Linked DNA regions of Arabidopsis thaliana. The protein of the gene in region 1 purifies or fractionates together with the protein of each later gene. This does not show direct contact. Each region holds a gene or a part of one and is shown in the gene's direction. Other genes may lie near its edges.

The links.
Region 2: the proteins of AT4G27585 (region 1) and PHB4 fractionate together in Arabidopsis thaliana (co-fractionation; one large-scale study listed by BioGRID). This does not show direct contact.
Region 3: the proteins of AT4G27585 (region 1) and PHB5 fractionate together in Arabidopsis thaliana (co-fractionation; one large-scale study listed by BioGRID). This does not show direct contact.
Region 4: the proteins of AT4G27585 (region 1) and PHB3 fractionate together in Arabidopsis thaliana (co-fractionation; one large-scale study listed by BioGRID). This does not show direct contact.

Annotation. Positions count from the first base shown.
Region 1 is NC_003075.7:13,763,864-13,773,346, reverse strand, and holds AT4G27585 (SPFH/Band 7/PHB domain-containing membrane-associated protein family), read left to right. Parts: upstream 1-3,385; 5' UTR 3,386-3,514; coding exon 3,515-3,669; intron 3,670-3,919; coding exon 3,920-4,163; intron 4,164-4,283; coding exon 4,284-4,433; intron 4,434-4,837; coding exon 4,838-4,895; intron 4,896-4,973; coding exon 4,974-5,066; intron 5,067-5,248; coding exon 5,249-5,347; intron 5,348-5,569; coding exon 5,570-5,661; intron 5,662-5,923; coding exon 5,924-5,983; intron 5,984-6,078; coding exon 6,079-6,363; 3' UTR 6,364-6,648; downstream 6,649-9,483. Other genes in the region: AT4G27595 (WEB family protein (DUF827)), read left to right, coding at 1-528; AT4G27590 (Heavy metal transport/detoxification superfamily protein), read right to left, coding at 753-1,260, 1,358-1,404, 1,584-1,903, 2,000-2,123; AT4G27580 (phosphatidylinositol transfer SFH5-like protein), read left to right, coding at 7,041-7,160, 7,321-7,515; AT4G27570 (UDP-Glycosyltransferase superfamily protein), read left to right, coding at 8,329-9,483.
Region 2 is NC_003074.8:10,073,670-10,081,265, forward strand, and holds PHB4 (prohibitin 4), read left to right. Parts: upstream 1-3,139; 5' UTR 3,140-3,234; coding exon 3,235-3,546; intron 3,547-3,854; coding exon 3,855-4,382; 3' UTR 4,383-4,394; exon of another isoform or gene 4,395-4,594; 3' UTR 4,595-4,939; downstream 4,940-7,596. Other genes in the region: AT3G27270 (TRAM, LAG1 and CLN8 (TLC) lipid-sensing domain containing protein), read left to right, coding at 1-391, 1,965-2,037; AT3G27290 (RNI-like superfamily protein), read right to left, coding at 6,369-6,851, 6,931-7,596. UniProt on the Arabidopsis thaliana protein: Prohibitin probably acts as a holdase/unfoldase for the stabilization of newly synthesized mitochondrial proteins.
Region 3 is NC_003076.8:4,608,282-4,615,166, forward strand, and holds PHB5 (prohibitin 5), read left to right. Parts: upstream 1-4,820; coding exon 4,821-5,108; intron 5,109-5,280; coding exon 5,281-5,742; downstream 5,743-6,885. Other genes in the region: BET9 (bromodomain and extraterminal domain protein 9), read left to right, coding at 1-236; AT5G14280 (DNA-binding storekeeper-like protein), read left to right, coding at 842-1,066, 1,150-1,449, 1,585-1,965; AT5G14285 (DNA-binding storekeeper), read left to right, coding at 2,399-3,163; AT5G14290 (Mitochondrial ribosomal protein L37), read right to left, coding at 3,931-4,329.
Region 4 is NC_003076.8:16,312,204-16,320,444, reverse strand, and holds PHB3 (prohibitin 3), read left to right. Parts: upstream 1-3,153; 5' UTR 3,154-3,823; coding exon 3,824-4,135; intron 4,136-4,334; coding exon 4,335-4,856; 3' UTR 4,857-4,874; intron 4,875-4,956; 3' UTR 4,957-5,595; downstream 5,596-8,241. Other genes in the region: G6PD6 (glucose-6-phosphate dehydrogenase 6), read right to left, coding at 5,889-6,056, 6,218-6,263, 6,378-6,493, 6,594-6,664, 6,771-6,866, 7,069-7,216, 7,431-7,502, 7,633-7,669 and 3 more. UniProt on the Arabidopsis thaliana protein: Prohibitin probably acts as a holdase/unfoldase for the stabilization of newly synthesized mitochondrial proteins. Necessary for mitochondrial and cell metabolism and biogenesis.

The DNA of each region.
Region 1 (9,483 bases):
ATTCACGATAACTATGAGCTCAAGGCCAGAGAGGCTTCTGCACTTAAGAAGATCGAAGAGTTATCTAAGTTGCTAGAAGAAGCTTCTTCCACACATGAGAAAGGGGAAGAGATTACTAATACCAATCCTTTTGATAACAGTACCGGAGAACAAAAAGTACAAGAAAGTCCTTTGGAAGCTATTGATAGACATTTGAAAGATGACACAACAATTCATTGGTCAGCTCACAACGTTCAAGTAATAGGAAAAGGAGAGAAAGGTAAAGATAAAGACACCGTGGAAAGCGAAGTGTATCATTTAGAAAAGAGAGAAGCTTCTTCAGAGAGAGACACAGAGCATGACTTTGCTGAAGAAGAAGTCGACTCGAAAGCAGAAGGTAGTGAGAACTTTGATCAGTTAAGTAATGGTTTGTCTTTAGCAGAACAAACAGAAGATGTGGTCTCAAAGGACCAACAACAGAAAAAGAAGAAGCCTTTGCTTCGGAAGTTTGGAAATTTACTGAAAAAGAAGAGCAGTAGCCAGAAATAGAGGTAGATGTGATGTTTTACTACAATCTCTGTTGCAACTGAACATTCCAAATTCAATGAAAGGTCTTTGATCTAACTGACTGATTTTTATATATAACAAACAAAGAGATAGCCATTGTTAAAGCTTACAAAGCATAACATAGAAACAACCTAAAAGAAGTAATAACACCAAGAGTCCTGACATGATAGAGATAGAGAGCAACATGCAGAGAAAGAGAGTCATCGTTAAAAGACGAAGCCTTCAAGAATGTCGACACATTCCTTAAGATTTTGAATAGCCTTGCGGAGATTATGAATACAACGCTTCTTTCGCCTTGCGTTTTCTTCTTCTTCCTCGTCGATCACTTGAGTCGAATCATTCTCTTCCTCTTCCTTCTTCTTGTTCAGCGTGTTCTGCTTGGGACGAGAAGACTCCCCCACGCTCTGACGAGGACGACGTTGAGTTCTCACTTCCGTTGTTGTAGCTACCGAGTCATTGTCCGATTCTGGATTCGCTGATTCTGCAACGGCGATGGGAATTGGATGCGAGGGAACAGATCTGGTCTTGGTTGATCTTCCGCTGCGAGTTCTTATTATAGTTTTTGTGTCTGTCACCTCTGTCTCTGAAAGAGGAACTAGGGCTTTGTCCGAGAAAATAGTGGATGATCTCCTAAGTTCAGTACAGTGGACTGGAAGATAAAGCGTTATCACTTTATTTTTCTCGAAAGACTCGGTCTTTTTTTTTCTTGATAACCTCTTATGATTGTTTTAAAGACTAACCATAATTAAAATTAAAGACATTCGAATATAAACTAACTTCAGAGTTGATAAGCGTCATACAACTGAATTACATATGTGTCCCAAGAAAGATTTTACGAACAATGCGGTGACCATTGAACTACGTACCATCAATCCGTTGCGAGATGCAAACCTTATCAACTATATAGAAACTTTGGTATTTATGTATATATTAAGAGATCCAATGAAAGTTACGTACGTGATTTCTTGGAGCTTTATTAGAAACTTAGTAGAGTCATATATAGACGTGATTCAAAAGGAAAGGGATCTAGTGAAGACCTTCTTCACGGCTTTCCATGTGAATGAAGAGGTTCTAATAAGTGACATAGGAGGTCTTATACTGAATCTCGGAGGCGTTGTAGAATACGTATAAAACGCCGATGATTTATCGGTATCAAATGAAGTTTTAATAATAGTGTCTTCTTTTACGACAATGCAATCATCAACGCTCTCTGGATTATTATTCTCCTCTTCCTCTACATTCCAAAACCGAGCTTCTTTTCGCTTCTTTTTCACCATCGCTAACACATCGAGTTTGTTACAAATCCCCCACACCGTCACCTTCTGATTGTAGTAGTCTACTTTCACTGAATATATTCCTGATTATTCGTTATAAAGAAAATATAATAAGCTTATTAATTATTTATGCATAGTCGTCTATGATATCATAACCATTAAAACTATTGATTACGTACCTTTGAGATGAGAAAGAGCCCTCTTGACTTTCTTCTCGCAACCGTAAGAATACAAAGGCACCATCATTTCTACGTACTGTGCTTCCACCTTGTTGTACACCGGCACGATTTGAAGATCACCCATTATACTTTAACTATGTATTTTGGTCGAATTCCAATTTCTAACTCAAACTATGCACACTTACCTTTATATATAGTAGAGATACACGAACTTAGGTGTGTGCATATATATATTGACGACAGTGATTGGGTTTCATGCAGAAGAGATGAGGTGCATGTTGTTGAAGTCGTCATGTTATAAGCTTTTTAGGATCTAGTGACTTGGATTTAGTGTAAAGTGTGTCACCACTATTCTCTTTGTTAGATATAGTTCACAAAATATAACCTTCTTTAGACTTTGGATCCCATGTTACATGTTCATCTTTTACTTTATCCCACCAAAAGAAAACTTGGATTGAATCTTTTGAAATCTAAGCAAAAGATAGAAATTATTTTCTTAGAAAAGATTAGACAAAAGAAAGAGAAGACACTTTTGAAAGGTGAAATGCGCTTCGTCATTACGAAGCTTTTAATTGTTGCCATTTTATTTCTTGACGTCGGTATATCTAAAAGGGAACGGCGCCGGATCTTTGATGACTCACACACAGTTCTTCACCATGTGAAACCCATTAGACTTGTTTTTTCCATGCATTCTGAATTTTAAACCGCTTTTTTCCATTATAGTAAAGTTTAACACCCCTTCATGGCTTTTGTAATGTCTAAATTTTTCAATATCCAAAACGTCGTATAATAATGAATTAATGACTATCTACAACTATCAAAATTTCATGATATAAGTTTATTTTCTTGAAATAAAATATGTATTTTATTCCTTACAATATAAATATTCATTATAATTCACTCACATCATTACATGATTTTTAGAAACTAAAAGAAACCATTACCCAAATTTTTTATATTGGCTCCGATTGGTGACCAAAGAAATGAACAATAGGAATTTTGGGGAGGAACAATTTTGTTCTATCATTCTTTTTTTTTGAGGAATGATGAGGAAAAATGTAGGATCCACCTGTCTGAAAATGGATCAAAAATTCCTTGCAAATGGTAAAAAATACCGAGGAACAAAAAGGAACACGACTTTCCTATTCATTGTTTTCCTCAAAAGTGGTTACCAATCGGAGCCATTATTTTCTTGCAATTTCTCGATTCACAATGAATTTTGGATTCAACTAAAAAAAACTCTTTAAAATAACAACCAAAACAATGAATAATAAATTAATAACAGATGGATATTTCAGGCGTCTGAATGGGCTAGAGATAAGCCCAATAATAACAGCAGGTACCAAACTATCCACTAAAGCCCAATAAAATATTTGCCTCCTCTCCACGCATATTGCGTGAAATCTTCGTGATCCGGCGAAGAAACAGTACCTGAATATTGACTACGCATTATAAGAGGTTTTGTTTTGGGGTTTTTCCTTCTTCACATATCATTTTTCTGATTCTCCCACGAAGATGAACCACCTCGTTCGTAAAAGCTCCGTCGGTTACTCCGCCTTGAGGTCCGTTTCGTACCTCCGTCAATCTGCCGTTACCTCTCCACCTCCGATTTTCTCCGCCGCCGCTTCAACCGTTCGCCAGTTCACTTCCGCCGGCTATCCTTCCAACAGGTTTTTCACCTTACGATTTCGTTTTTGAAGCATTTGGTTTTAGATTAGAGTAGAGAACCTTAGGATTGATTTATGGATGTTCGTTGTAGTTTTCAATTGACGATTTGGTTTTAGATTAGAGTAGAGTAGAGAACCTTAGGATTGATTTTTGAATCATTTATGTTTCTCACCTTACGATTTCGTTTTTGAAGCATTTGGTTTTAGATTAGAGTAGAGAACCTTAGGATTGATTTATGGATGTTCGTTGTAGTTTTCAATTGACGCCGCCGACGAATTGGGGAATCCGGATAGTTCCGGAGAGGAAGGCGTTTGTGATTGAGCGATTCGGTAAATACGCTACGACGTTGCCGTCGGGGATTCATTTCCTCATTCCGTTCGTGGATCGTATTGCTTATGTTCATTCTCTCAAGGAAGAAGCTATCCCGATTCCGAATCAGACTGCGATTACTAAAGACAACGTTAGTATCCACATCGATGGTGTTCTCTACGTTAAGGTCATCTTCTTTTCTTTCACCAATCCATTTTCCTCTTGTTTTTTTTTTTTTGTTTTGAGTTCTTACTTTTGTGATTCTTTACTGATTTCTTCTTGTTGATCTGGGAATTTTTTTTTGCAGATTGTGGATCCTAAGTTAGCTTCTTATGGCGTTGAGAGTCCTATCTATGCTGTTGTACAGCTGGCTCAGACCACAATGCGTAGTGAGCTTGGTAAGATCACTCTTGATAAGACCTTTGAGGAACGAGACACTCTCAACGAGAAGATAGTGGTTTGTTCTCCAGCCTTCTTTATCTCTGTTTTGAAGTGTTAGGACTCACCGTACTTAAGCTCCTGTGCATTTCAAAGAATTTAGAATCCGCTAAGTTGATCAATTTCAAAGTCAAGTCACGTTAGCTTGAATATTGCTGTTGGTGTTACTCCCTACTGAGCATTGCGGCTTGAGCTGTTTAGTTGGAAAAATTAGTCACATCTGGCAGTGTGTTTGTATACCACAAGTTGGGTATATGGAATTTAGATTCAGCTGGGGGATTTAGTCATGTTGTATTTGTTGGATATCCGAACTTATTTGCGTCTCTTTTTCAAATCATAAGGAGACATGATGGTTAGAGGAAGTATATCCATTGAAGAAGAAAATATATGATGGATTTTTGAGATGTATATATATTCTTGCAGGAAGCCATCAATGTTGCTGCAAAAGACTGGGGTCTTCAGTGCCTTCGTTATGAGATAAGTAAGTTGTTCGTGTTTTTTCTTTTCCGGTGATAGTTACATATCTGTTTTTTCCTATTTCTAATTCATGTTTTTCCAGGGGATATTATGCCCCCTCATGGAGTGCGAGCTGCTATGGAAATGCAAGCTGAAGCTGAGCGTAAAAAGAGAGCCCAGATTCTTGAGTCTGAAGGTAACCTTGACTGACTTGTCTTTGAGAACTCATCTTCGAGACTGAGCAGTGCTTGCTACGGCTCATAATGTTATTCTTGGCTAAAATCTATCTGTTATTCCTTTTGAGTTTCGTTTTTTGCATTTGGAAAAGAAGAGGCCTGCTTAGCATGTTTCTAATCATTGCTTTACTAAATTTGACAGGAGAAAGGCAATCCCATATCAACATTGCTGATGGTAAGAAAAGTTCTGTAATCTTGGCATCTGAAGCAGCAAAGATGGACCAGGTGAATCGAGCACAAGGTTAGTGAGCCATTAAGATCGAGAACACATCAGAGTTGCATGTTATGTCCATTGTTAGTTAGTTTCACTAGAAGAAAAAGTTAGTTTTCATTTGCTTATTTTTCCACTGTACACTGATGAATGCTTGGTGCATGAGGAACTATTTTCGTTACTGCTAATGCACAATATGGTTGCTATCTCCCACTGGTTTTTTCTTATATTATCCTTGATGATGTTCTACAGGTGAGGCAGAAGCAATACTAGCTAGAGCACAAGCAACTGCGAAAGGCCTGGTCTTGTTATCTCAGTCCCTCAAGGAAACTGGGGGAGTAGAGGTGAGTAATTGAGATCAAGCAGAATATTGGTATTCATAGTTTTGATTTAACTAACTAGCTTTGATTAATTAATTCTTCATAGTATTTACACAAATTGCTAAATGTGTACGTCTTTATTCTCTTTGGATAAAGGGTTCTGTGTCTTCTTGAACTTTCCAACTTTTGGAATTTTAAGTCATATCACTATTATTGCTGTGTTTAGGTTTCTTAACTTTTTCTGTCCAAAATATGATCTCATACGGTGTCACTGTAAAATTTGCAGGCGGCGAGTTTGAGAGTTGCAGAGCAATACATTACAGCCTTCGGTAACATTGCCAAGGAGGTAAAAACAAATCAATTACTGTAATCTCTTCCAGTCTCTTGGCATAGCTCGGGCTTATGTAATGTTCATGTTTTTTGTTTTTTTTTGGGGTTTAGGGTACGATAATGTTGCTTCCAAGTGGTGCTTCAAATCCTGCTAGCATGATTGCTCAAGCTTTAACAATGTACAAAAGCCTTGTCATCAATGGTCCAAGCAAAGATCACCAAGAAACACAAGCACTTGATGAAACAGATTTGGAAGAGTTGGAAGACATGGGTGAGAAACATATATCAGAAGGCTCTAATAACCGATCAGGCTCAATATCATTTGACACAGAGAAACCAGGTCACACCGGTGAACCACGATTTTCTCTTCAGAACCGCAACAAGGATCCGCAGTAGGCAGCCGAACCGGGGATGAGATAAATTCTTTGGGCTTGAGAAAACTGGAAACCATTTTTCATCTTTCAAATATGAGGCAGTAACCATCTTTTCCGTTTGAATAGCTAGAATATCATCACTTTGCATATAGAAACGAATCTGAACATCTGTTCTCCGATAAGAATTTTCCTACTGGATTTGTTATGAACATGGTCCTTGTGTTCTTATTCACCTTTATTCCCATTGCATTGCTTATTACCTGTACCCGTTATTATTCGGTTCGGTTGCAGAGTATTGCAATCTAACCAGGAGGAGCTTGTGAATCCATGAGATGTCAGAATTTGCCAGCAGAAAAGAAGCCATTGCCCCCTAAACAGGATATAGAAGAATGGTGGAGATAAAAGTTGTCCTCCGGATAAATAGGTCCTCACAGAGAATCAAAGGTGTAATGACTTGTGATTCTGAAATTAACCAAAACTTTACCTGAAATAGCTTTAGTCCATACGATTCCTGTATGAATCTGTTCACAGCCCTCTCCTCCATTTGCTCAGCCTCCGGTTATAAAATTAAAGAGTTTTGGCCTCTTCAAAGTCAGCTTTGTCTAGAGGAGTTCTCCTTTTCTTTCTTTCTTTTTTTGCTCCACAGCTCTTCCCATTGTAAGTTTTGTTTTCCAAACTAATCCTTTCAATCCAAAAACCATGGGAGCCTGTGCGAGCAAACCTAAGGAATCTGACATCGTCGAAGGCTCTGTCTCGACCGAAAATGCTGTTGTTGAGTCCAAGAATGCCGCGACCGAGACAGATGCCACATTAACTCAGGTGAGTCCAATATATTCTTTCTAAATAATTTAGTAGATGATCTTAAAGATTCTTGAATTGAATAACATGAAATTTACCAATTAAACAGAATTTACTACAAATTCTTGATTGAACAAACTCATATTAAGTTAAAACTATTGTTGCTGATTGTTGATTAAAGGAGAAGAAGGAAGAGTCCATTGAAGAGACAAAGAAGGAAGGTGAGACAAAAGAGGACTCCTCTGAGGCAACCAAGGCTGAGCCAACTCCAGAAGCTGTGAAGGCAGAAGAAAAAACATCTTCTGAGACTGAGCCACCAGCACAAGAGACCACACCTGCTGCTAAAACCGATGAGGCCCCTCTCGTGATCCTTTGATTTTCATTTCATCAAATCTCAAAATCATGAGTATGTGCAAGTGCAAGTGTTTCTCACATTGTTATTCGTATGTTCATCTCTGTTCTATTGTCAATATGTACAATACCCATGTACATTCTGTTGTGCCCGCCTCTAGTAAATTATGATTAACGAAAAATTACAATTCTTTTTTATATAGCTTATGATGTGTAAATATCAACACTAAAACTGGGACATTCAGTTGGCACCAAGTAGATCGATATCTAGACTAGAGGTTCCTCCTCTATGTCCCACGGTTGCAGAGGATAAAATGAAGAATGAGTACATGGCCTACAAAATCTTGGTTCTTTTTGCATGTCGATTCCAACTACCACGCATTTATAGCAAGGATATTAAATTTCCGGTACGGTTTTAGTTGGATTTCGGAGAAGGCAATGTACACTTTTACCGAACACCCCAAGTTTTATTGGTCGTAAACAAATACTACAGGCCACCATGGATACATCTAGTGCGCATCTATATCGAGGCTCAATTAAAATTTTAACGGACCCCAATCAGACGTGTCTACGCAAGGCTCAATCGACCAGTAATACAACTATAAATAAGCAATCAAAGCAGCAAATGGGAAAACCAGCGTTATGTTTTGGTATGAGAATCATGTCAGCAACAACCAAACGGTGTATATATTAATAACTATCGAGAGAACACAACCAGAGTTAGGTAGGCCTTGTTAGATTTTCACACCAAACCCTGGCACTATATATAGACCCATCTAGTATCCAAAGCATAATAGAGATACAAAGAAACAAGAAAACGAAAAGAAAATATACAGAAATGGGTGGTTTGAAGTTTCATGTACTTATGTATCCATGGTTCGCAACAGGCCATATGACCCCGTTCCTTTTTCTTGCCAACAAATTGGCTGAGAAAGGTCATACGGTCACTTTCTTGCTTCCCAAGAAATCTCTGAAACAGTTGGAACATTTCAATCTGTTTCCACACAACATTGTCTTTCGCTCTGTCACCGTCCCTCATGTGGATGGTCTCCCCGTTGGCACAGAGACAGCCTCTGAGATCCCTGTGACATCAACTGATCTCTTGATGTCTGCTATGGATCTCACACGTGATCAAGTTGAAGCTGTGGTCCGAGCCGTTGAACCGGACCTGATCTTCTTTGACTTTGCTCATTGGATTCCAGAAGTAGCTAGGGACTTCGGCCTTAAGACTGTAAAGTACGTCGTGGTGTCTGCATCGACTATAGCTAGTATGCTTGTCCCAGGTGGTGAGTTAGGTGTTCCTCCACCGGGATATCCATCATCAAAGGTGCTGCTTCGTAAACAAGATGCTTACACTATGAAGAAACTGGAGCCTACAAATACAATCGATGTCGGACCAAACCTCTTGGAACGAGTCACTACAAGTCTTATGAACTCTGATGTCATTGCGATAAGGACAGCCAGAGAAATCGAAGGAAACTTTTGCGACTATATAGAAAAACATTGCAGGAAAAAGGTTCTCTTGACAGGTCCGGTGTTCCCTGAGCCAGACAAGACTAGAGAGCTAGAGGAACGATGGGTTAAGTGGCTAAGTGGGTATGAACCAGACTCAGTGGTGTTTTGTGCACTGGGCTCACAAGTCATTTTAGAGAAAGATCAATTCCAAGAACTCTGCTTAGGAATGGAGCTAACAGGTTCACCGTTTCTTGTAGCGGTTAAGCCCCCTAGAGGCTCATCAACGATTCAAGAAGCACTTCCTGAAGGATTCGAAGAGCGGGTTAAAGGAAGAGGCCTTGTTTGGGGAGGATGGGTTCAACAACCATTGATATTGTCTCATCCATCAGTCGGGTGCTTTGTGAGCCATTGTGGGTTTGGATCAATGTGGGAGTCTTTGCTGAGTGATTGTCAGATAGTCTTAGTACCACAGTTGGGTGATCAAGTCCTGAACACAAGATTGCTGAGTGACGAACTCAAGGTTTCGGTTGAAGTGGCA
Region 2 (7,596 bases), on another chromosome or scaffold:
TCCTCACCTGCCGTTACATGGTTGCTCACGGCGCCTGCGCTCTGCTCGCGCTGCTAGTCGTCGCGGAGGCCACGAGCGCGTGTCAGAACACGTGGACGCTCGCGGATGCGCGTGGGAAAGACGCGCCTCTAGCGGTGAGTTTGCACCGGTTCGTTACGGTGCCGTTTTACGCGTCCTATAGCGTCTGCAGGTGCGTTCTAGCGCCGTTGCTTATCGTTAAGATGACGTGGTTTTACGTCAGCGGAGGCGCTGATGACGTCATACCCAGATGGGTTTGGGTTTCGTGGACCGTTGTTATTGTTACTGCCGTTACCGTTAGTATCCTTTGGATTTGGAATTTGTGGGTACTGTTTTTTCAGGAAAGATATTCCAAATTTACCAAAAAGGTTAGGTAAAAATATATTTACAGTTTCCATATTCGAGATTTTGTTATCTAATTTGAGCGTAAATTAATATCTCCGAATAAATTATGTTCATGGATTTGGTTGCATATATATAAAAATTGTCCGGGACAAATTTTTAAAAAAATTATATCTTAGATTCCAAAATAAAGTCTCAAAATAATTAACATATAGTCAATCAAAGTTTTTATATGCTATTAGAGTTGTTTAATAGTAAAAAAACAAAAAAACTTTGGTTGACTCTGTCAAGAATAAAATGAGATTTGTTCTCTAATTTTAGCGTAAAATAATAAATCTGAATTAATCATATCCCATTATCTCTGGACTTGGAGCTATATGATCAGTACTATCATTGAATTTAGACACAAATTGGTTATAAGGGTGTTCGTTTAATATAGTTTGGTATTCGGTTTTTACAAAATAAATTTGAAAATCCGAGACAAATTGGATATTCAAAATAATTGACAGATCGTAAGGTTTATTTTTATTGAAGATAGAATACTTTTAATTATTATTGTGAGTCGGTCTTAGGTTGTTGAGACGAAAGTTAATTATAAGAATGTTTGTCACAACCCATTACTAAGTCTAAAGCATAGAAAACTTGGGATGACTAAACTTGGGGTGACTTGTACAATATCAAAAATCGAGATCATTGCCTCGGACAATAATAAATTCCACAAAAGTACGAGTGACTAGTGTCCACGAGACTAGTGGTTGAAAATTAGGACTTGAATTCATTCCCTCTAGAAGTTTATACAAATTTCAGACCAACTTTTTAATTAACACTTTTTTTCATTTATTTTTTCTTGAGCAAAATAAGAGAGGAAGTAAGATAGATTAAAATTTAAACAACCACAAGATAAACATGCTTTAAGATTCTAGTTAAGAGATGGATAATTGAACGAATCCAAACCAATTGGAGGGGAATGGTCTGTTAGATTTCACATGTTAGAGGTTCCTCCATGAAGTCTAGAGTTAGACTCTTTCGAAATCTCACAAAATGTAGCTTGAAGGATGAGTTTGACATCAACAATCTGTTGGTCCAATAGTAAATCTCCCAGATGGAGGTGTTGAGTTCAAAGCATGTTGGGAGGGATTTTTTCTCCTAAAAAGATGAATTTAACTTGGTGTAGGTCTCGCCAGGCTGACCTCGCCCATATTTACAAATTACAATATCATCAAAACCCGAAGGAGTAAACAAAGAGTGGTGATTAAAGAATGAAGTGTCATTTTAAATAGCTCCCACTTGTTTTTCTCTCGATCTCAATCTGACAGAAACTGATATATTCCACTGATCTTCATCGATTCATCAAAGTTTTAGATTTTAATTCAGATTTCATCTTAAGGGAGGGTATTACGAGTATAGGAATGTGATTATCATATTAATGAAAGTTGAGGTTTTAAAAATAGCTTAACCAAACAAATGTAATCTTGCCAAAAAGATATAAAATGAGTCCATCAACAAAATTTATCGGAGTTACAAGATCATCAGATTCCGAAAAGCTTTTCTGTTTATGCGAGCGGTAATAGTGTTTTTTGATGTCTCCGTCGATTTCTTTGAAGGTGGCCAAAGGCGAAACGGAGACACTATTGTGCAACAAGTTGTTCATTTGTTTCCAAACATGGTAAGCTGTAGCATGAGCAACTCCTACTAATTTCCAAAGAATTGTGGGAGCAGTCTCTGTTTTTAGCTTAGTCCAAGCCAGAATTGAAATCCAAGTAATAAAGATATAAGGCGATATCGTTAATCCTCTTCTGGTGTTTTCTGTATGTAAAACGGCGTCTTTCTTTTGATTCGAAACGGAGGAGTTTGTGAAGGGTAACAAGACGGAATGGTTCTTTATATCTGGGAGGACCAAGATGGGGAAATGTGGAAAAAGAATGAATCGTAGAGACAATGGAGGATACTGGAGGGTAGTATCATCTCTGCCAAGAAGATTCATGCTGGAGAAGCAGGCCTTGTCGGCTACAAATACTCACTAGAGTACTACATTGGAAAACAACCAAAATGGCGTAAAAGAGGGTTGGTTGATGCATGAACACTGGCTTAAGTCTTCTGATGATATTAATAACTACGAGCTGGTAAGAGTATATATGTACGTTTACTTACTTGGTTTCCAAGTTATTGAGACTCTTGAGTTTTGGTTTTTATTGTGACGACTTCTGTTGTTTTGTTTGAGTAGGGCAATTATGCTATGTGCAAGATCTATCTGAGTCCACACGCAGCAAAGAAGAAGAAAACACACGATGAAGAGATCGACGATTTAGTTCAATTTGTGGAAGCAGCCTTAGATGTTTCTTTTTATCTACTTTTGCTGTCCAAAGTCAGAGGTCTCATTGTCTTTATATAGAATTTCTTGTATATAACATTTTCCACTGGTTGTATAGAAAAATCAATTTTAGTCTTTTGTGCTTATTCACTCTAATCAAAATCTCTAATCAAGGTGAAGGAGGAGGTGGAGGAAGAACATTTTCATCTTGCTCTCTAAGAAGATCCAAAATCTCTGCAGGGTTGTTATCAACACGCTCTTCGTCTCTGTCTTCCTCTCCGGATTTAGTTTCGTTTATGGGCAAATAATCAAATTCGGGTTTAATCTTCCAAACCGTTGTTTCCTTTTATATTACATCATTTCCTTTTCCTTTTTTATTATTGGGCCGAAGTAGTTTATATTATTAATGGGCTTTAAACAAGCCCATATTCAATAATTGTCGGCCAAAAAAAACCCTCTCTTCCAAGTTCCAAAATCATTTCATAAACCCTAACAAACCCCTAAATCTTTCCTTTCTCAATTCTCTCCTTCGAAGCTTTTTTCTTGTGAGGTCAGAAAAGAAAATGGGAAGTCAACAAGTAGCGATTTCGTTTCTGACGAACTTGGCGAAGGCGGCGTTTGGGTTAGGTGTGGCGGCGACGGCACTAAACTCGTCGCTCTACACTGTTGATGGTGGCGAGAGAGCTGTTTTGTTCGATCGATTCAGGGGAGTGTTGGATCAGACCGTCGGCGAAGGGACTCATTTCTTGATCCCGTATCTCCAGACGCCGCACATATACGATATTCGTACGAAACCTCACACTTTCTCCTCCAAATCTGGTACTAAGGATCTTCAGATGGTTAATCTCACCCTTCGTGTTCTCTTTCGCCCTGAGGTAATTTCGATTTTAGCAACAATCAATTTCTCGATTCTGTGTTTGATTTTGTATACATTGGTTGTTTACAAGATCGAGGGTTTAGGATGATCGTGTTCGTTCGATTTAGCAATCATTTATCGATTCTGTGTTTGATTTCGTGGAATTTGAAGTTTGTGTACAAGATCTAGAGTTGAAGATAATCCTTATGTGTAATTTGGTTTCTTCGATGAATGTTACTCTTATTATAGAAGCTTTTGGTGCATATCTATGCTGGCTTCGATTGTTTGAGGGATTGAATAAGTTGTTGTGGTTATTTTACTGTGAAGGTTTCGCGTCTCCCGTACATTTTCCAAACATTGGGTCTTGAATACGATGAGAAGGTTCTTCCATCGATTGGAAATGAGGTCTTGAAAGCTGTGGTTGCTAATTTCAATGCTGATCAGCTCCTCACTGAGCGTCCTCAAGTATCAGCACTTGTTCGTGATGCTCTTATCAAGCGTGCCAGGGAATTTAACATTGAGCTCGACGACATAGCCATTACTCACTTATCGTACGGTGCTGAGTTCTCGAGGGCAGTGGAGGCGAAGCAAGTGGCTCAGCAGGAAGCTGAAAGGTCAAAGTTTGTGGTGATGAAGGCTGATCAAGAGAGGAGAGCTGCGGTTATAAGAGCAGAAGGTGAGAGTGAAGCTGCTCAGTTGATATCAGATGCAACAGCTAAAGCAGGAATGGGACTAATTGAGCTTAGGAGGATTGAAGCTTCAAGGGAGGTTGCGGCTACTCTGGCTAGGTCTCCGAACGTGGCTTACTTACCTGGTGGACAAAGCATGCTCTTTAATCTGAACCCTGGTCGTTGAGCTATAACATTGGTATGCTCTTTTACTTCTTTGAATAATGAATGAAAAATGGATTTGGACTTAAGATTCCCATTTAAAGGCATTAAGGTTATTCGGTTTGGTTGAACTAAGAGTGGTTATGGTTTGGTATAAACTGTTTGGTTTGATAGTAGAGTATGGTTTAGGTTTGTGGAATGGTGTGGTTTACTTGTTTGGCCTTGTTGTATTTGCAGGTGGGAAGAGGAGCTTCAGTGGAGACAAAACGACGGAGCTGTGAAGTTTATTAACGTTGATGCTCTTTTATTTCTGATGAACACGATGTGAAAAAAGATAATTGTTTTGAGCCGTTCTATCTTTTCTGACTCTAGAAGTAAAGACTATGCCATTGTTGTCGAAACCCGATCATTCCAATGAAAGGCTTCACCAAAAAATCTACCATAACAATAGTCGAAATTTGTATTGTCAAAAACAATTTCCAACACCAAGGTTGTTGTACTTGTATTATTTAAAATATAAATTAAAACATGGTAAATAAATTAAATAAAACTTTTTTATGTGGTCACTTTGGTGGCTTCGGTACATGCGGTGGCCTCTTGTGGTGGGGTAGACAAACTCTAAGTATAGTGCATTCACAAACTTTAACTTTTCCCTTCAAATTACAATTTGCTCCACCATAACCTTCGTTGTTACAACTCGTTCGGCACCTCCTAGCACCGTCTACCTTATTACACGTCTCTGGCGGTGCTTTGCTTGGATAATCATCACACAATTCCCAATTCATTGCTTTTCCTAATACAATAATTCGATCAATTACAAGTATTTATATCGTATTGATTATATATGCATATTTTTGTTTTTTTTCAATGAAAATATATTTGGTAGAAGATTTAATATTATTTACGATTTTATCTCCTTGTAGTGATTTATTTTACAGCTAAATTACAATTTTGACAAATTTCCTTAATTTTTTTTTTAAATGAGTATAAGAAGTTCCATTTTTTCAATATTTGTATATCTTGTAATTTATAAACCAAAAGTTTAACCGCAAATAACACCTTTTTTTTTTGTTGCATTAAGCATCTATCATTATAAATCAAACTTTTAGACATTTTGTTTTTCCTTTTATAAGTTTTTATTTTTCTTTGTTAATAGAGTGTTTTATGAATAATAAATCTAAGTGTCATATTGCTATATATCAGGAATTATTATTTCTAAAAATAGAAGAAGAAATGAGAGATAATCCGTAAAAAATGCCTATGAAATTGTTTAATGAAAAGAAACATTCATTATTAATTTATATCATAATTCTCTTTTTTCATATAACTTTGATATGTTTCTTTATTAAAAATATGTTATTTAAACGTAATAATTACCTACATGATATTATGCATTATACACTGGATGTACAAACTGCGAATAAGTATTGGAATATGAGAGGTATTATTAAGTAAACTAGGTTTGGATGAAGTGACTAGTGAGGATGGTTGGGAGATCTTGCAATGAAAGTTTGTGATCATGGGCTCATGTTTCCAGGGAATGTACAAGCAGGAGTGGATTGATAAGAGATTGATCCATTTTGAAAATTATACAAGTCATTTAACAAAAGCTACATATGGAGGAGATTAAAAGACTAATTAATGATAATGTAAAATAACTCTGATATATTCTTTATTCTCTTCTCTTTTCTTGTAAGTTCTACTTATTTCCCATTTGAATCCTGGTGCTTCAACTTTCAAGTAAAGCTCTAGTCTTTGCTTCTCTTCATCTCTCATGATCAAGTTTGACTCGAGTCCGTTGCAGAATCAAGTTTAGCTCAGATCTTTCATGATGCTGTAGATGAAGACTAAACACCCTTCTGAGTCTTATCATGTTTCCATTTTTTGTTGCAGCTCTTCTTATTGACTTAGGTTTGATACCTCAAGCACCAAGACTCTTCATTCTTCAGAAAACAGTGTATTGAGGATCAAAGTAATGTGTTAAGCTTCGGTTTTGACTTCAAATAAACTATTATAAGCGGTTAGACCTCTTCTCAATGCATACCACACAGCTGAATGCAAAACAGAACGGCTTGTTTTCACAGTCATTTAAGCAACTCCCACACTCATGGCAACGTTCTATGCAGACAACGCAAGCTCTGCAAGATGACTTAGAATAAGGATATTGACCCTTCAATGGACATGTATCTGCTGGACAATCAAATACCAGACTTGGTTTCTCACACCAGGGGCATATCTCGAGGTCAGTAACTCGATCATCCTCTAAATAGAATTCTGATCTACAAGACGTATAGAATCTCTTCTTCCTCTCTTGTAAACCCACTTTAGCATCTCCTCCTAGCAATAAGTTGAGCTCTTTAAACTGCTCCTTTGTGAAATACAACGCCCCACCAGTGATTAGGCTTTTGACTCCAAGACGGTTTGAAGATTTTAAGTCCCTTAAAGTTGACACTAGTCCTGCTGTGCTTAGTCTAAGACAACCAGATACACTCAGCTGCAAAAAAACAGACACACATGAACAAACAACACAGAATCATATAACAAGATTGGTTCCATCATTCGATCAAACTAACCTTAGTAAGATGTGGATTGCTAGCAAGAACTTGCTTCAAGCCATAATCAGTGATACCAACACATCCTCCAAGATTCAAACATCGAACACCGCCTAGAGCACGGCGTGTTAACTTCAAAAGAGACTCATCAGTAACTCTATATTGAAGAAATGAGTCATTAAGATCAATACTTGTCCAGAAAAAAGGTTCCTTTCCAACCGAATCACGCAAAGACCTACAAACTACTTCAACCGCAAGAATCTCTTTCAACTCTAGATATGGAAGAACCAACTCAAACGCGTCATGAGCTTCACCACCACCACCACCATCATCATCATCATCACCATCATCATCATCATTATTATAAAACCAACTTAGAGTCTCGAACAACATCTGATCAACAACACCAATTTCTTTCTGATTCTCATGAAACCAATCAGAGATTGTGTTCAAAGTCGATCTAACTCTCATACAAAACGGATCCTCAGGCAAAGTATGATCTTCTGAGACTAAACCAATCTGATTCTCATGAAACCAATCTGAGATTGAATTCAAAGTCGATCTAATGTTCATACAAAAAGGATCATCAGGCAAACCCACAAAATCATCCCCAAATTCGCCTAAACCCAATTCTAATTTTCTGTAATCGTTATAAGAACCTCGAAGCCTTTCGTAATTAACCTCCAT
Region 3 (6,885 bases), on another chromosome or scaffold:
ACGCAAAGTTTCTCGAGGATCTAGAACTGCTGAAAACAGTCGACACAGACCATTTGACAAATACAATAGAGGAGGAGGATGGGCCTGATGTTGGGTTGCGTAGTTTCAGTTTTGGGGGTAGTAATCCTCTTGAACAGCTTGGACTGTTTATGAAACAAGATGAGGATGAGGAGGAAGCTGACCCGCTAACTTCGCCAGCCCCTGAAATAGATATAGAAGAGGGAGAGATTGATTGAGGTTGTATGCTGATCCCCAAAACCAAACAATAGATATATCTGAATTCTGAATCCAGAATCCATCCCAAAAAAAAACATATACTGTGAGCTTCAAGTAGAGAGGGCCGTTCAGACTGAGGATTGGATTTTATTGGTACTGAGAGTGGGAACGTAGTCATTCATGAGTTAAGTTTTGCTTGGAATGGTCGTGAGAAGTGGGTCATCGTCTTTTTCCCTTTGCGTTGTGTTGTGTGATGTTGGTACGGGTTATCTTCGTGCTTCTTGTCGAATTGAGTATATTGTATCAGTAAAGAATTTATAACTTAAAAAGAGCCTTATGTCAAATACGACGTCGTTTTGTATGGAAATGGATTTTTTACACCGCTGAAAAAATAAAAAGAAAACTCGGAATCTCTTCTTCTTCACTCAAGAAGTCGCTCTGAAACTTGGAAACCACATTTTTGTTCTCTCAAGAGTCTGTTTTTTTTTTCTGGCGTAAGTTTGAATTTCATGAAAAGTTGTTATCGCTAGTCGATTTAGTGTAATTGATATCCTGATTAAGGCTTTTCTCTGCATGCCAGCCAATCAGGCTAGAATTGTGAAGTATAAAAGTAAGCAAATTGACAATGGCGACTCCGACGGAGCTAGGTTTCTCTTCACCTGGTGGTGGTGGTGACGACTCTGACGATAACCCTCCACAGAAGCGTACTTCAAAACGTACTGCTTCCGAAACAGCAACAGAAGAAGAAACGAAGAAGAAGAAAAAGAAGAAGACGAAGCACAACACAAAAATGGCTTCTCCTCCGAGCAACCGGATCTGGAACGAAGAAGACGAGCTCTCTATCTTAAAGGTATTTCCTACTTTGTCTCATCTATCTACTGCATTTACTTGATTGCGTTGCGATTCCTGAAACGGCATATCTATAATTCTCAGGGATTGGTGGATTTTCGAGCTAAAACAGGACTCGAATCCAAAATTGATTGGGATGCGTTTTATTGTTACGTCAAAGGTTCCATTCATGTGAAAGTTTCCAAGTGCCAGCTTATGAGTAAGACCAGGAAGTTGAAGAAGAAGTTCCTTGATCAAATGGAGAAAATCGATCAAGGAAATGATCCACATTTTACTAGGTCTAGTGAAACTGAAGCTTTTGGATATTCCATGATGATTTGGCGTAAAATTGATGCTGAATACACTAATGGTGTTATGGATAAAGCACATCAAAGCGAGAGTGGAGTAAGTGACTAATAAGAGTTTGTCATTTGTTTTTGATACACAATCGTCAAATCTGTTACAATAAAACTTGCTTAATGAATTGTGGTTTAAGAATGATTTGGATATTGTTCAATTATATGGTTTGTTGAATCACAGGAGGAGGTGTTTGAGGAGGATGAGGAAGTGGCCTTAATTGACAAAGGGGCTGCGAAAAGTGGCAAGTCACCTCATGAAGCTGTTGTTGTTGTTGACAAAATAACTACGAAGAAGAACGGGACTGCTGGAAAAGAGAGTGATGATGATGATGATGATGTGTTGTGTGCTGTGCGGGATGCGTTTGAGACCACCATGATGTCGCAAGGATTAAGTGATTATCAAAAGAAGTTGCAGCTTGAGAAGCTGATGAACCTTGGAACTGGTAAAAGAAGAGAGTTGAGCAATGAATGGAAAGCACTATGTGTTGAGGAACTAAAATTGAATATCAACAAGCTTCGATTTTCCGCCAAGCTTGCAGAGGCAGCAAATGATGGTAAATAAAATGAAGAAACGCCATTTCAGCATTTGGTGTTTGTCGTTTCGGAATTGGCTTGAAAAATATAGTTTACTTCTTACTTCTTACTACTTATTAGCCATAGACCATTTACCTATAAATGTGGTTTATGTCTTTAGCTTTACTACAACTTCTGGTGATTGATCTACTTGGGAAAGTATTTGTACCATTTCACTTTGATTTTTACCATCACACCTCAGTGTCCTTCTTCATCATAAAAAGAGATGATATTATAAAGTTGTTTTGGTCAATATAATATATGATTAAATAGATATTTTGATACATGTGTCTATCAGTCTATCGTTTAAGCTAAAACTCAACGAGACGACAGACGATAAAAAGGGATTAAGTTTCTTCTGTGTAGATTATTCTTCTTCTTCTTCTTCTTCCATTGTCTCTTGGGTTGAGATTCCGATCTCAATGTCGATCAATATCGGAGAAATCTCAATTCCAGACCTTCCTATCTTCTTCTCCATGTTCTTAACCATCTACCTAATCGCTTACTTCATCGTCTTCCGCAATTGGAAACCACAAATCCGTCCCGAAGCTTCAAGCTGCCTGATCTCAATCTTCCATGGATCTCCAGCGGTTTTCCTCGCCACACGCGCAGTTTTCTCCTCCTCCGAACGCTCCTTCGCCTCCGCAAACACCGCCGCACAAAACACCGTCCTCGATTTCAGCGTCGCTTACTTCCTCACCGATCTCTTCCACTACATCGTCTTCAACCCTAACGACGTACTCTTCATCGGCCATCACGTAGCCACTCTATTCGTCTTCCTAACCTGCAGATTCCTCGTCTTCCACGGGGCTTGCGCCATCTTAGGCCTCCTGATTCTAGCTGAAGTAACAAGCGCGTGTCAGAACGCGTGGACGCTCGCCGGAGCAAGGAAGAATGATCCGGAATCACGATTAGCTGTGAAAGTGTACGATCTCTTGTCTCCTCCGTTTTACGCCTTCTACAGTATCGTTAGGGGTGTGTTGGGACCTTTGTTTTTCGGGAAAATGGTAGCGTTTTACGCTCGAGGTGGTGCTCATGGTGTGATACCTAATTGGTTGTGGATTTCTTGGGCAATTGTTGTTGGAATTGCTATTACTGTTAGTATACTTTGGATTTGGAATCTCTGGATAGAATTGTTTAGTGAAAGGAAAGCTAACAAAATCAGAGTAGACAAGAAAATTAGATAGTTTCTTCTTTCTTCTCTAGATCATTGTTTGATCTTCCTTTTCATGTACTATATATAATATATATACCATTATTATTCTCACCTTTTAGAATTCCTCTAAATGATGTATGTTTTGGAATAATAGATTTGCTTTTGGGTAAGCAGTATGTGCAAAATGCACTTTTAATTCAACTCTGTATTGTTCAGAAGTTCTTCTCTTAAGAGTTTCTTCCATACACATATGTCTTGTCTCTCTGCTACACTTGGTTGCTCACATCTTGATTCTTGATATTGATGAGAAACGTTTTCTTTATGAAGTGTGCCATTCTTGGTGAGTTATATTTGGCTTTATAACTCTCTTTGTTTACGGCCAACACCAAGTCCCCTGAAACCAGCAACTGGTAAGCCATATATTCTTTTACTTGGAAGAATCAAAAGTTAGCTGGGGAAGTGTAAGAAATTACGAAACACAGAGATTCATATCTTCGATCATTGGATTGTGAACTTTTCATGTGTTGAAGAGGATAGGAAGAGAATTGGGGACTAAACATACCATCCAAGCTGAGACATGGTGTTAGGCAGTCTGTTGTGGAAAGCTGAATGATATACCATTTGGCCAATGAATAGCATAAAATACACAAATTTAACCAATTTACTGAGAAGAGCATGGAATTAGAGAAAAATCTTTTAAGATCAAATAATCCCAAAGATAATAAGGAAAATGAAGGGATTGCTCAAACAAGGGGAATTATAAGGGACACATACAACAAGTCATTGTTGAATCTCATTTCAGTTCTTGGCCTTGATAGAATGGTTCTCCTTGATTCTAGCTCTGGTATCCAGCTTCACAAAACGTTTAAGATCATCAAAACTAAGAGTCTCAACGTTCTTCCTTCTAAGTTCGCTAAGCGCCGGTCGCTTATCAAGCAGATGCCATAAATAATCAGGGTGATCTGAATTAGGCAAGATCTTAGGGTCCAATCCATCTTTCAGAGTATTAGCACTAACAACCATACTCGATTTGATCTCTTTGCTCAAGTTCGATGCTTTTGGTGCATCATTACCTCCATCTCCCCTCCCAACCTTCTTCGCTTTACCAGCAGCTGTAGCAAATGTTCTTTGGCACACAAATCGCATTACATCTTTGGATCTAGAAATGGAATCCCCAAACATTCGAATAAGGTTCATATCAACAACCTTATACCTGCAAATTCACAAAATAAAACTAAATAAATCTACACAATCCTATAATGTTCGTTCTCGGATTTAGATCAAGATTCGAGTTTTGTCGAAGATTTTTGGGTGAGGGTTTAACTCGCAAGATAGAGATAGGTAGCGAGTGCATCGCGGGAACTGGTAAAACTTATTAAAAAGTAACGGACCGGAAAATTAAAAGACCCGTCTAAAAGCCCACCAATAGTAATGCATACAAGTAACACGTGGCAGGTATGGTTGACCGAGTGAGTAACAGAACGTGAGAAAACCGACCCGCTAAATAAGAACCCGCCCAATATAATAAGCTTTCTCCTTAACTTCTGCCTCACGCAAAAAAAAAAACTTCCTATAAAACCTCATCTCCTGCGTTCTCTAACTACTTCTCACCTATCTGACAAGAAAAGAAACCCTAAACAACATAAAAAGAAACCTAAAATCCATACAGGAGACATTCAAAGCCAATCATGCCTTGGTCAAAGTTCACAAAGGTAGCTCTAGGTCTAGGAGCTGCCATAGCGGCTGTGAGATCAACAATGTTCACCGTTGATGGTGGCCAGAGAGCTGTTATGTTCCACCGATTCGAAGGGATTCTAGAAGAACCAGTAGGAGAAGGGACACATCGTAAGATTCCGTGGGTGCAAAAGCCGTATATCTTCGACATTCGGACCAAACCCTACAAAATCAATACCGACTCTGGAACTAAGGATCTTCAGATGGTCAACCTCACACTTCGTGTTATGTTTCGCCCTGATGTAAGTTCCCGCGAATATCCAAAAAATTTCACTAATAAGATTTTGTGATATATATGTAAAATAATATATAACTGTTTTCCGTGGGTTCGTGTTAGGTTTCGCGCCTCTCGTATATATACCAAAACTTAGGTCTCGACTATGGTGAAAAGGTCCTACCAGCGATCGGGACGAGGTGGTTAAAGCGGTGGTGGCTCAGTTCAACGCTGACGAGCTCTTAACAGAACGTCCACAGGTCTCAGCTCTTATACGCGAAACGTTGATCAAGCGAGCTAAGGAGTTCAACATTGTTCTCGATGACGTGTCGATCACTGGTCTCTCATACGGTAAAGAGTTCTCACTTGCGGTGGAGCGGAAGCAGGTGGCACAGCAAGAAGCTGAGCGGTCCAAGTTCGTAGTGGCAAAGGCTGATCAGGAGAGACGAGCGGCTGTGATTAGAGCAGAAGGAGAGAGCGAGGCGGCTCGGGTTATATCGAAAGCGACTGCAGGGGCTGGGATGGGGTTGATCAAGCTCAGAAGGGTCGAGGCGGCTAGAGAGGTTGCGATTACGCTCTCTAATTCTCCCAATGTCGTCTATTTGCCAAGTGGTGGGAATATGTTGTTTGCAATGAACGGTCCAAGCAAAGTTGTTGCTTGAATTAGTTGCAAAAATATGGTGTTCAATGGTTATATTGATTTGTGTGTTTTAAGATTTTCATTTTTTTATATAGTTTCCTAGTATTGGATCACCCTAGTATACTCCAGTTGAGACTGTTCTTGCGAGTCTGAGACTCGCACACATGACACATGACACATCTACTGTTAAGTCGACATTGACATCAAATTAAACAATCACTGTGCCAATCAAACTTATGCATAGACCTAGAGATAATTAAGTAGTCCAAGTTCAAAGGTTGATCTAACCTGGATCAGTGCCCTTGGTAGCTATGGCACATACTTCCTCACTAGGGAAAATGGGAGCTGATTATCCAGCAGCTTTCGATTAGATATCAACAAACAAAATGCAAATTAGGTTATCTTAGAAAGAAAAAAAAACAAGCTATTCATCGGATCACAAGTCACAAGTGTCACCTCGAAAGAAACTTGGGCCCATCTATATTATCTTATGGGCCTTATCGACCGATTCAAATATTGCAAATTAGTGTCGTTAACCTTTTTTGAAAACATACGGCCATTAGTGACAATTTAATTAATATTCTACAAATTCGAGCAGTGTCTTCTACATTTCTTTGTAAAGTCTTTGGTTTTTAATTTTAAGGTCAAGTTCACCATGAGCGACCAAAGTTTTGAATTTTTCAAGGTTTTTATTTTCATTTTATCGTTGTATGGAGAAAGTTTCTTATATCTTCATTTGAACATTGAATAGAATTATTAAACATTATAATTCAAGGTAGGATGGTCAAACAATTATTCTAGATTTCCCTCTTAAATTCCCAAATTTAACATAATTTAAGCTTTTGGTAACCAAAAATCTAACATCTTACAAAATTTAATAAATGTTTTTGGCCCAAAGAAAATTTATAGTGCTGGCAAAAGAAAAATTATAATGAATGTGCTCTTAATTAAATAACCAAGATGAGTTGATTAATTATGGATTTTGTAACAAAATAAATAATTTAAGGTGCTGTCATTTTGCCCACACGTCTATGATTAAAAACATAATGAAGTGTCAATAATCTCTATGATTAATAGTTTTGGAATCTTACTCAATAAGTTCCAATTTATAAAATCAGTGAATAGCAAAGATATATAAATAATACGCAAAGAGAAAAGAAAGAAA
Region 4 (8,241 bases), on another chromosome or scaffold:
TTGGCAATGTTTTAAAAATATTTCGAAAACAAAATATGGTCATTGTTCAATTTCCACTATTAATGTTCTGCTTTTAGTTTGTACATAAAATTTAATTCATTGTTGCTAGTGTTTAAATGTGAAGGAGCTAGGAAAGTTCGTAGAAATGCACCAAATGAAGACTTTTGAGAAAATGATAGAGTCAATGAAAAGAAGAGATAATGAAGTGTATGGTTCACTTCTATGTTCTAACAATCTCTATTTTCTTAAAATTATTTATTTTGTCATTTTCTATCTTGTCATGTTCCTGCTTTTCGGTCAAGTGGCTTTCTTCCATTGACTTATATTTTGTTATTGTTATTTAATTAGTTGGAATAATGTTTTACGACGATTTCCATATTAATTCTTGAATTAAAATACTATAGAAACTAGTTGCCCCAAAAAAGAAAAACTATAGAAACTAAGAAGATGTGTAAAATAAAATATTTATATACGGATTCATCAACATGGTTGAAAAAATTAAGGTATCATCATAAGATTAATTAGTTAAAAATTTCAAGCAAATAGGTATAGTGATGAAAAAAAAAAAGAAAAAAAAAGGTATAGTGATGAATGTTATTTGTATGATGAGTCCTTAATTCTAACTAAATTCATCATTATCCGATTCCGAACAACTCCTATATGCACAAAGAATATTTTTACTCTCGATTTATCTCGTCGTTATGCATGTGAGCATTTATGTGATGACATGTTATGGCTTATGATAATAATAACAATGATTAGAAAATGTTATTGAAATGTTTAAAAGTCAAAACTGTTTTATAGTTAGGTTTTTGTGTGTGGAATTTATTGGGATTGAAGAAAAAACGTGTAAAGTAAAACTCTGTTGGGAAAGTTATTTAATGAGTCAACTGATGAAGTTCGAATTTTTTCCAAAAAAGAGAAAAATAGACGAACAAATTAGCGTATAAATACTAATACCATATAAATAGATTAAACGCAAGATGAATCTATCTCATGTAAAACTTTATGAAAATATAGTAGACAAAAATAAAAAAAGAGATACGTTGTTCAAAGAAGCAACTCACTAAATATCCTATATATATGAATTACTGGTTTAAATAACCTAATTACAGTTTACAGGAGTTTTATATGGATGTTGTCCAATGTCGTAAGCTCATAATCTTAGACTTGTTATGTTTATTTCAATAGAAGCGTGTAGACTAAACCGCAATTGGCAACTCGAGTGTTCCGTCTGTATCTCCGCATCGAATGAGAGATACATGCTTATGTAATATAGTTCAGCGCGGGCATGTTTGTATCTGCATTTAGTGATTGTGCAAACAAAAATCAAATGATCAAAGTAGTTAATGCCTCCAGTGAAGCATCTCGGAAGCTGTACACGAGAGGAAGTTTTCTTCAAAGAAATAATCAGTTGACTCGGTTTAATTGTTACGTGTCACCTAGTGTTGTAGGTTAAGGATGAAATTTATCTCCACCAGATTGCAAATTTATTTTTATTTACTCGTCAATCTATTTCATCTTCGTTGTATATGGTCAACGAAACTATTAGATTACAATCAATTGATTTTATAATTATTACTAAGGTATGAATAATTTCAACACCACCAATTAGCTATAGTTTCGATCTGCACTTTGACACTAAATTATAATTTTTATAATTTAGTGTATCAACGTGACATCATGTATGTGATAATTAGCTTACATTATCTTATACTAGTTTGTAAACAAATACTGGCCATTGGTGGAGGAAAATTATGTGCACTAAACAACAAATGAGCATCCATTATAGCTTAGACTAAAGAATATTTGCATTATATGTAATGAGTCTCATATTTAAGTAAATGGCAATTCTAAAATTTTTTCACTAGCTAGATAAAAACACATCAATACTTTTTATTGATCTACCATTGGTGGTCAGATGATAATTCGATTCAATGTTTAGCCTAAACATATTCTTTCTGACCGATTAAAAACCAAGTGAACGTTTTGTTTTGGTCGATCTATCCCAAGATTAGTTGGACTTTGTTCCAAATTTCTTGATGAGCAAACACAAAAGTGTAAATTGTTTCTTATTATTGTTGTCATGTACCATATATATATATTTGACAAAATAACCTAGTATAGTAGTAGTAGTATATATATAATTATATATATATATATTAATATTAGTTTCAGTTTGTTTATTTTACAATTATACACTTCTCACTCTAATTGGTTATCAAAGATTCATGTTTCCTTCACTTGGGTTGTTTCTTTTACCTGTTTCGATAATATTGATGACTACATATATATCCGGTTGGAGTCAAAATGTTGAAAGAATCGAATTTAGCTCAATCTTTGAAGTTGGCGTTTAGTTTTTGAAATTAAAGATTTCTCTGCAATATTTTAATTGAAAATCAATATTGAAGGACTTTTCTGTAATATAAATCTATTTTAAAGGTTATTTTCAAACCTGTATAAGATTCGACACCGAAACATTTGACATTTTCGATAACGTGGTGAGGTCACTGTGTGACCTTCCAAGTAAAACTCCATAATTTTCTTAGTATTCGAGACGACTTAATTGAGTCATATTAATTAAGTGATACATAATATCTCTATATTTTTTTGGTCGAAGATACATAACAATTTTACGGATAAAATATTTGGAGATTTACATGCTTTCAGATTCAGTTTTAATACTCGTGTACATCTGTCTTCAAATCCCACTTAACCGAATAGAAAAGTATTCGCGTATACTGTTTGTTGGTCAAAAAATAGTCACAAAAAGTTTTCAAAAATAGATATCATTGTTTCACAACTTTTCTTTTAAGGAAAAAAAAACACTTTTTATACTGGAAAAACTCAACAACAACGTCCCCTGCCGTTATATTTGAAAAGGATTAATCATGCTCACATGTAAATATTTTTCTTATACGAAAAAGTAGTTATCCTTATTCAACTTCGTGTTTGTCAAGTAGCTCGAAGAATATTTTTGTTCACTACCGTTGGCTTGTACTAATCTAATACTTTTATAGTAGGCCCTTAACACCATACAAATGTCCAAGTAGGTATATTCTTCAATTTTTATTTGATTAAACAAATTGAGATAAACTATTGGCGTTGACCGATCTTGGTTTTCATTGCCTCGATTTTGCTGTTTTATATTTGGTTTCTTCTTGCTGGTTGGGATGCTGTTTTTGAACTGTGAGGTAGTCTTCATTTGTTATAAGAAGAGCTGCTATCTTGATGCTGTGGATTAGAATTTCCCCGTCGTTTAGCCATTTCTGCAAGCTTTTCTTTATCTTGGATTGATGGTGGGCAATGTCTCATGTGCTAGATTCTGGTTATAGTTTTTGATTTTCCATGGTTCAGTTTCTATTTTCTTATGCATTTAAAGTAATGTTTGTTAGCTTCCCATACTTTTGGGCTTTAGTCTCCGAGGATTTTTGTTATCCGTCGACTTAGTTTTTGAGATTATCTTGTTAATCGTCAGCTTTAACTTTGTAAACTCTATCTATAATCTATCTTTCAGTAAAAAAAAAATAAAAAAAATTGAGAGAAACATAATTTATGAGACAAAAAGATATTAAACATACTCTGTAACCGTTAAGCTGTTTTCAGCCCAATGTCATGAAACCCATTATTGAATTTAGTTCTTAATAGGCTTATATAGTCACATAATAATATTGGGCTAAGTTACTTGGCCCATTAAATCATTTCCCGTGGTAGGTTCCAGAAACATATCATAAACCCTAGCAGAAACTCTTTCCTCTCTCGTCGTCTCAAATCTCTTCTTCCTTCTTCTTCTCTCTCGATTCAAGATAATCCACACGCAAAAATGGGAAGCCAACAAGCGGCTGTTTCGTTCCTTTCCAATTTGGCGAAGGCTGCTTTCGGTCTTGGAACGGCGGCGACGGTGCTGAATACATCGCTTTTCACCGTTGACGGCGGAGAAAGAGCTGTTATCTTCGATCGATTCAGGGGAGTGATGGATCAGACTGTGGGTGAAGGGACTCATTTCTTGATCCCGATTCTTCAGAGGCCTCACATCTTCGATATCCGCACGAAGCCTCACACGTTCTCTTCAATCTCTGGTACTAAGGATCTCCAGATGGTTAATCTCACTCTTCGTGTTCTCTCTCGTCCTGAGGTATAACGCATAACGGTTCTTCATTTTTGATCTAGACTCGTTTGATTTCTCTGAATTGAGGTTTTTCAGATTCATTTGCGAATTGGATTTAGGGTTTAGGGTTTTGATGATCTATGATTTTCAAAATTTGTTTCGAGGACTAGGTATTGTAGAATCGTTATTAATTTGGTGTGTTTATGTGATGTGAATTGTTGTGAAGGTGTCGCGTCTCCCGTACATCTTCCAAACTTTGGGTCTAGAGTATGACGAGAAGGTTCTTCCTTCGATTGGAAATGAGGTTTTGAAAGCTGTGGTTGCACAGTTCAACGCTGACCAGCTTCTCACTGAGCGTCCTCACGTCTCAGCACTTGTTCGGGAGTCACTAATCACCCGTGCGAAGGACTTCAACATTGTGCTTGATGATGTAGCTATCACGCATTTGTCCTATGGTGTGGAGTTTTCAAGGGCTGTTGAGCAGAAACAAGTGGCTCAGCAAGAGGCAGAGAGGTCTAAGTTTGTTGTGATGAAGGCTGATCAAGAGAGGAGAGCTGCGGTTATAAGAGCTGAAGGTGAAAGTGAAGCTGCTCAGTTGATTTCTGATGCTACGGCTAAAGCTGGTATGGGACTTATCGAGCTTAGGAGGATTGAAGCTTCAAGGGAGATTGCGTCTACACTTGCTAGGTCTCCTAATGTGGCCTACTTACCCGGTGGCCAGAGCATGCTCTTTGCCCTGAACCGTTGATCTTGATCAGATATGATGGTATGTAAAAGCTTCATCTGAATCCATAGAATTAAGTCGTTTTGTGATTTGTCTGAAGGCTTTGTATTATGGTTATGTGCAGGTTGTTTGGGAGCATTTTGCGATATTTTAATGATCAAGTTGTGAATCTGATTGAATCAAAAAGGTGAAATGCTCTTTTGTTTTGATGAACTCTGAAGAAGAAAAAGAAACTAGTTGTTTGAGTTGTCATTATTGTGTTCTGAATCTCGGCAAAATTTACTCTACCTGAAGAATCTTTGTTTTCAGCATCATGTTTATCTAATTCTCAACAAATAAATGATTTTGGCTGAACTGTAAGTAATTTGTTTGTTACACATGCGTGAGAAAAGAAAATACAGATGGTACCTAGGAGTGTTGTTCTATGCGGATAAACTATGGTCACATCTGGATTATCTAGATGGTACCTATTTTGCATAAACTGTCGATAGTCTACGTCAAATTTCGATCTGTATGGACATTCAATTGTTTTTGCATAAACAGAGCAAGTTCAGAAACAAAGCAAATAAAGAAGAGAAATCATGAAAGATAGCCTTTTCTATCGAGATCCATTTTATCCATCGGTTTTAGTTTTTTTTTTTTTGGTCATCTAATGATAATGATGACTATGTAAAGACGGCGTCGGTTCCTAGACTCAACTTATGTGTCTGTGTCAACAAACTCTAGATGGAACTTAATGTGTGTTTCAACCACCTCTAGATTGAACTTATGTGTGTATATCAACAAACTCTACATTTTTTGGCAATTTTTTCTATCTCATCGTCAATTTCATTCATTTAACGAGCACAACAAAAGCTAAATTCATTTATGGTATTGGTAAGATTTTTATTTTTATTTCTACAAAGCCGCAAATACAAGACCAAAGGAAGTGTCAAAGTGAACAGCTGAAGTAGCAAGTTTCACGTACAAACACCAAACTCGAGGAGGGACTATTCAGCATAATTTATACATATACATGTAGATACATGTATTGTGTATTTATATATATGTAGGGTTTTATAGTGTAGGAGGGATCCAGATATAGCCGTGAGTCTGAAGATAACCAGCTTTCTCTAGTAGCTGATCAGCTTCTTTCGGTCCTCGGCTTCCTGGTTTGTATGGGATTGACTTTACTTCTCCTTTGTCGATCCTGTGGAGTAGCGGCGTGAAGATCTCCCACGCAACCTGTAATAATCATCAAAATGGATACAAATGTTAGCTCCTGAATTGTATGATGCAAAAGTTTGTGTCTGGATTGTGTCTATAGTTAGAGCATTTGTAATGTAACAAAAAAACGATCTCAGAGACTGCTTTGGTTTAAGGGTGGCGTTAGAAAATGTTTCTACCTTTAATTCGTCTCTACGAACGAAATGTTGTTGATCGCCTTTGATTCTGCAGAGAGATGGAAAGAAAATATGTTGAAGATAACATGAAGGAACAGAAGGCATCAATTAGATATATAAAGCCTATTGGGGTAGTATATAATTTAGAAAATTTATTTCTTACGTGTCAAGAATTAAGCGCTCGTATGCCTCAGGGATAGCGACACCTTGATACCGTTGCCCATACGACAAGTCTAGTTCACTTTGCACAGTATTCATATCTAGACCTGGTTGCTTAACCTGTGTAGCAAAAGCATAGCCAAAAGCGTTATGGTTCACTGTAGTGGTTCAAGGTCAGAGTAATTAGTAAATTATGTTTGTTTGTTCATCATATACTTACAGTTAGTTTCATGTACATTGCCTCTGAAGGTTGCAAGCGTATCACAAACTCGTTCCTTCCTTGCTTTTGACCTGTTGCAAGAGAGTTTAGACAAAGCGATACATTGTGTCTTTACATATATTTAAATTCAAAAAGCTAAAAGAAGATTCAAAACACGATGTCAGGGCAAGACAATACATCTGAATATGTCGCCTGGGACATCCTTGAATTGAATGCGAATTTCTGCCTTCCTTGAATTCAACGCTTTTCCGGCCTTTAATATAAATGGAACACCTGAAAGATATATCCAGGACCGTTAGAATGTGCATGCAAACATGTCGGATTTTGGTTCCACATGCTTTAACCAAAAGATTGATGCTATCTATGATCATGTTGACCCATCAAACCTCTGTTTTTTCTTCATATTTTATGTCAATTTCCAGATTGTTTCTGAACTGATAGATGAAAATATGAAGAGTGAAGTGGGACATGGTACCTTCCCATCTTTCGTTGTGTATGCGAAGGATTGTTGTGGCAAATGTTGGAGTGTTTGAGTCGTTTGGAACAGTATCATCATCCCTATATCCTTCGTATTGTCCAAGAACTACCTCGTCATCGCTTATCGGAACCACAGATTGAAGCACCTGAAGTTCACTAAAATAATCAGTAACGAGAGACTAATTGGCTGAAAATGCAAATGGAAATATCAACCAATCCATGTAAACTCGCTAAGGAGATTTTTAAAGAAAAATGTAACTAGATCAAACAGTGAGGTTCTCAATCATATGAATTCAGATAAAAGAGGCAACGAAAACCAGATAGAATGGCAAAAAGTGGTCAAGAAAAGTATTTGTTCACCTTCACTTTCTCATCCCGGATATGCTCAGGTTTAAGAGATATTGGTTTCTCCATGGCAACAAGGCAAAGAACCTACAGAGTATTATGAACTCAGTTAGTCAATACATGAAAGCATTTGAACTTACAGAGAGACTCTGAAAAACAATCACATAGATTTCCAATGAAGTTTTGTTATCAGGAAAAGTATCTCAGGTATACTTGCCTGTAGCAGATGGTTTTGAATAATATCACGGATTATTCTGTGTGGCAAGAAGTGAAGATGTCATCAGAAATGAACTGGTGTCATCTCATTAAGACCCTATATGAAGAACAAGAAGACACTCAAAAAGAAAGTATTACCCATATTCGTCAAAATATCCGCCACGCCCTTCAGTTCCAAAATCTTCCCTGAAAACAATCTGCAAGAAAAGCATTTGAAAATGTGAATTGACTCTAAATAACAAACAGTCTGACTATTTCTGTCTTAGCTATGCAGCTCTCACCTGCACGTTCTCGATATTGTCACGGTTCCAAAGTGGCAAGAAAAAGCGATTTGCAAACCGGAGGACCAACTGCAAGAAATGCACGAGATAAAATAATCACTGATAGTCTAAAGAAAGAGATTGATGATTTAGACATTAATAGAGAAGCAGGTTACCATGTTTTGAACTAATTCCTTCCCAAGATAATGGTCTATACGATAGATCTGTGATTCATCAAATAACTCTCCAATCTGAGAACTCAGTTGCTCTGCAGATTCAAGGTCCTTGCCAAATGGCTTCTCCACAACAATCCGTGTCCATCCACCAAGATCAGCTGGAAATTATGAGAC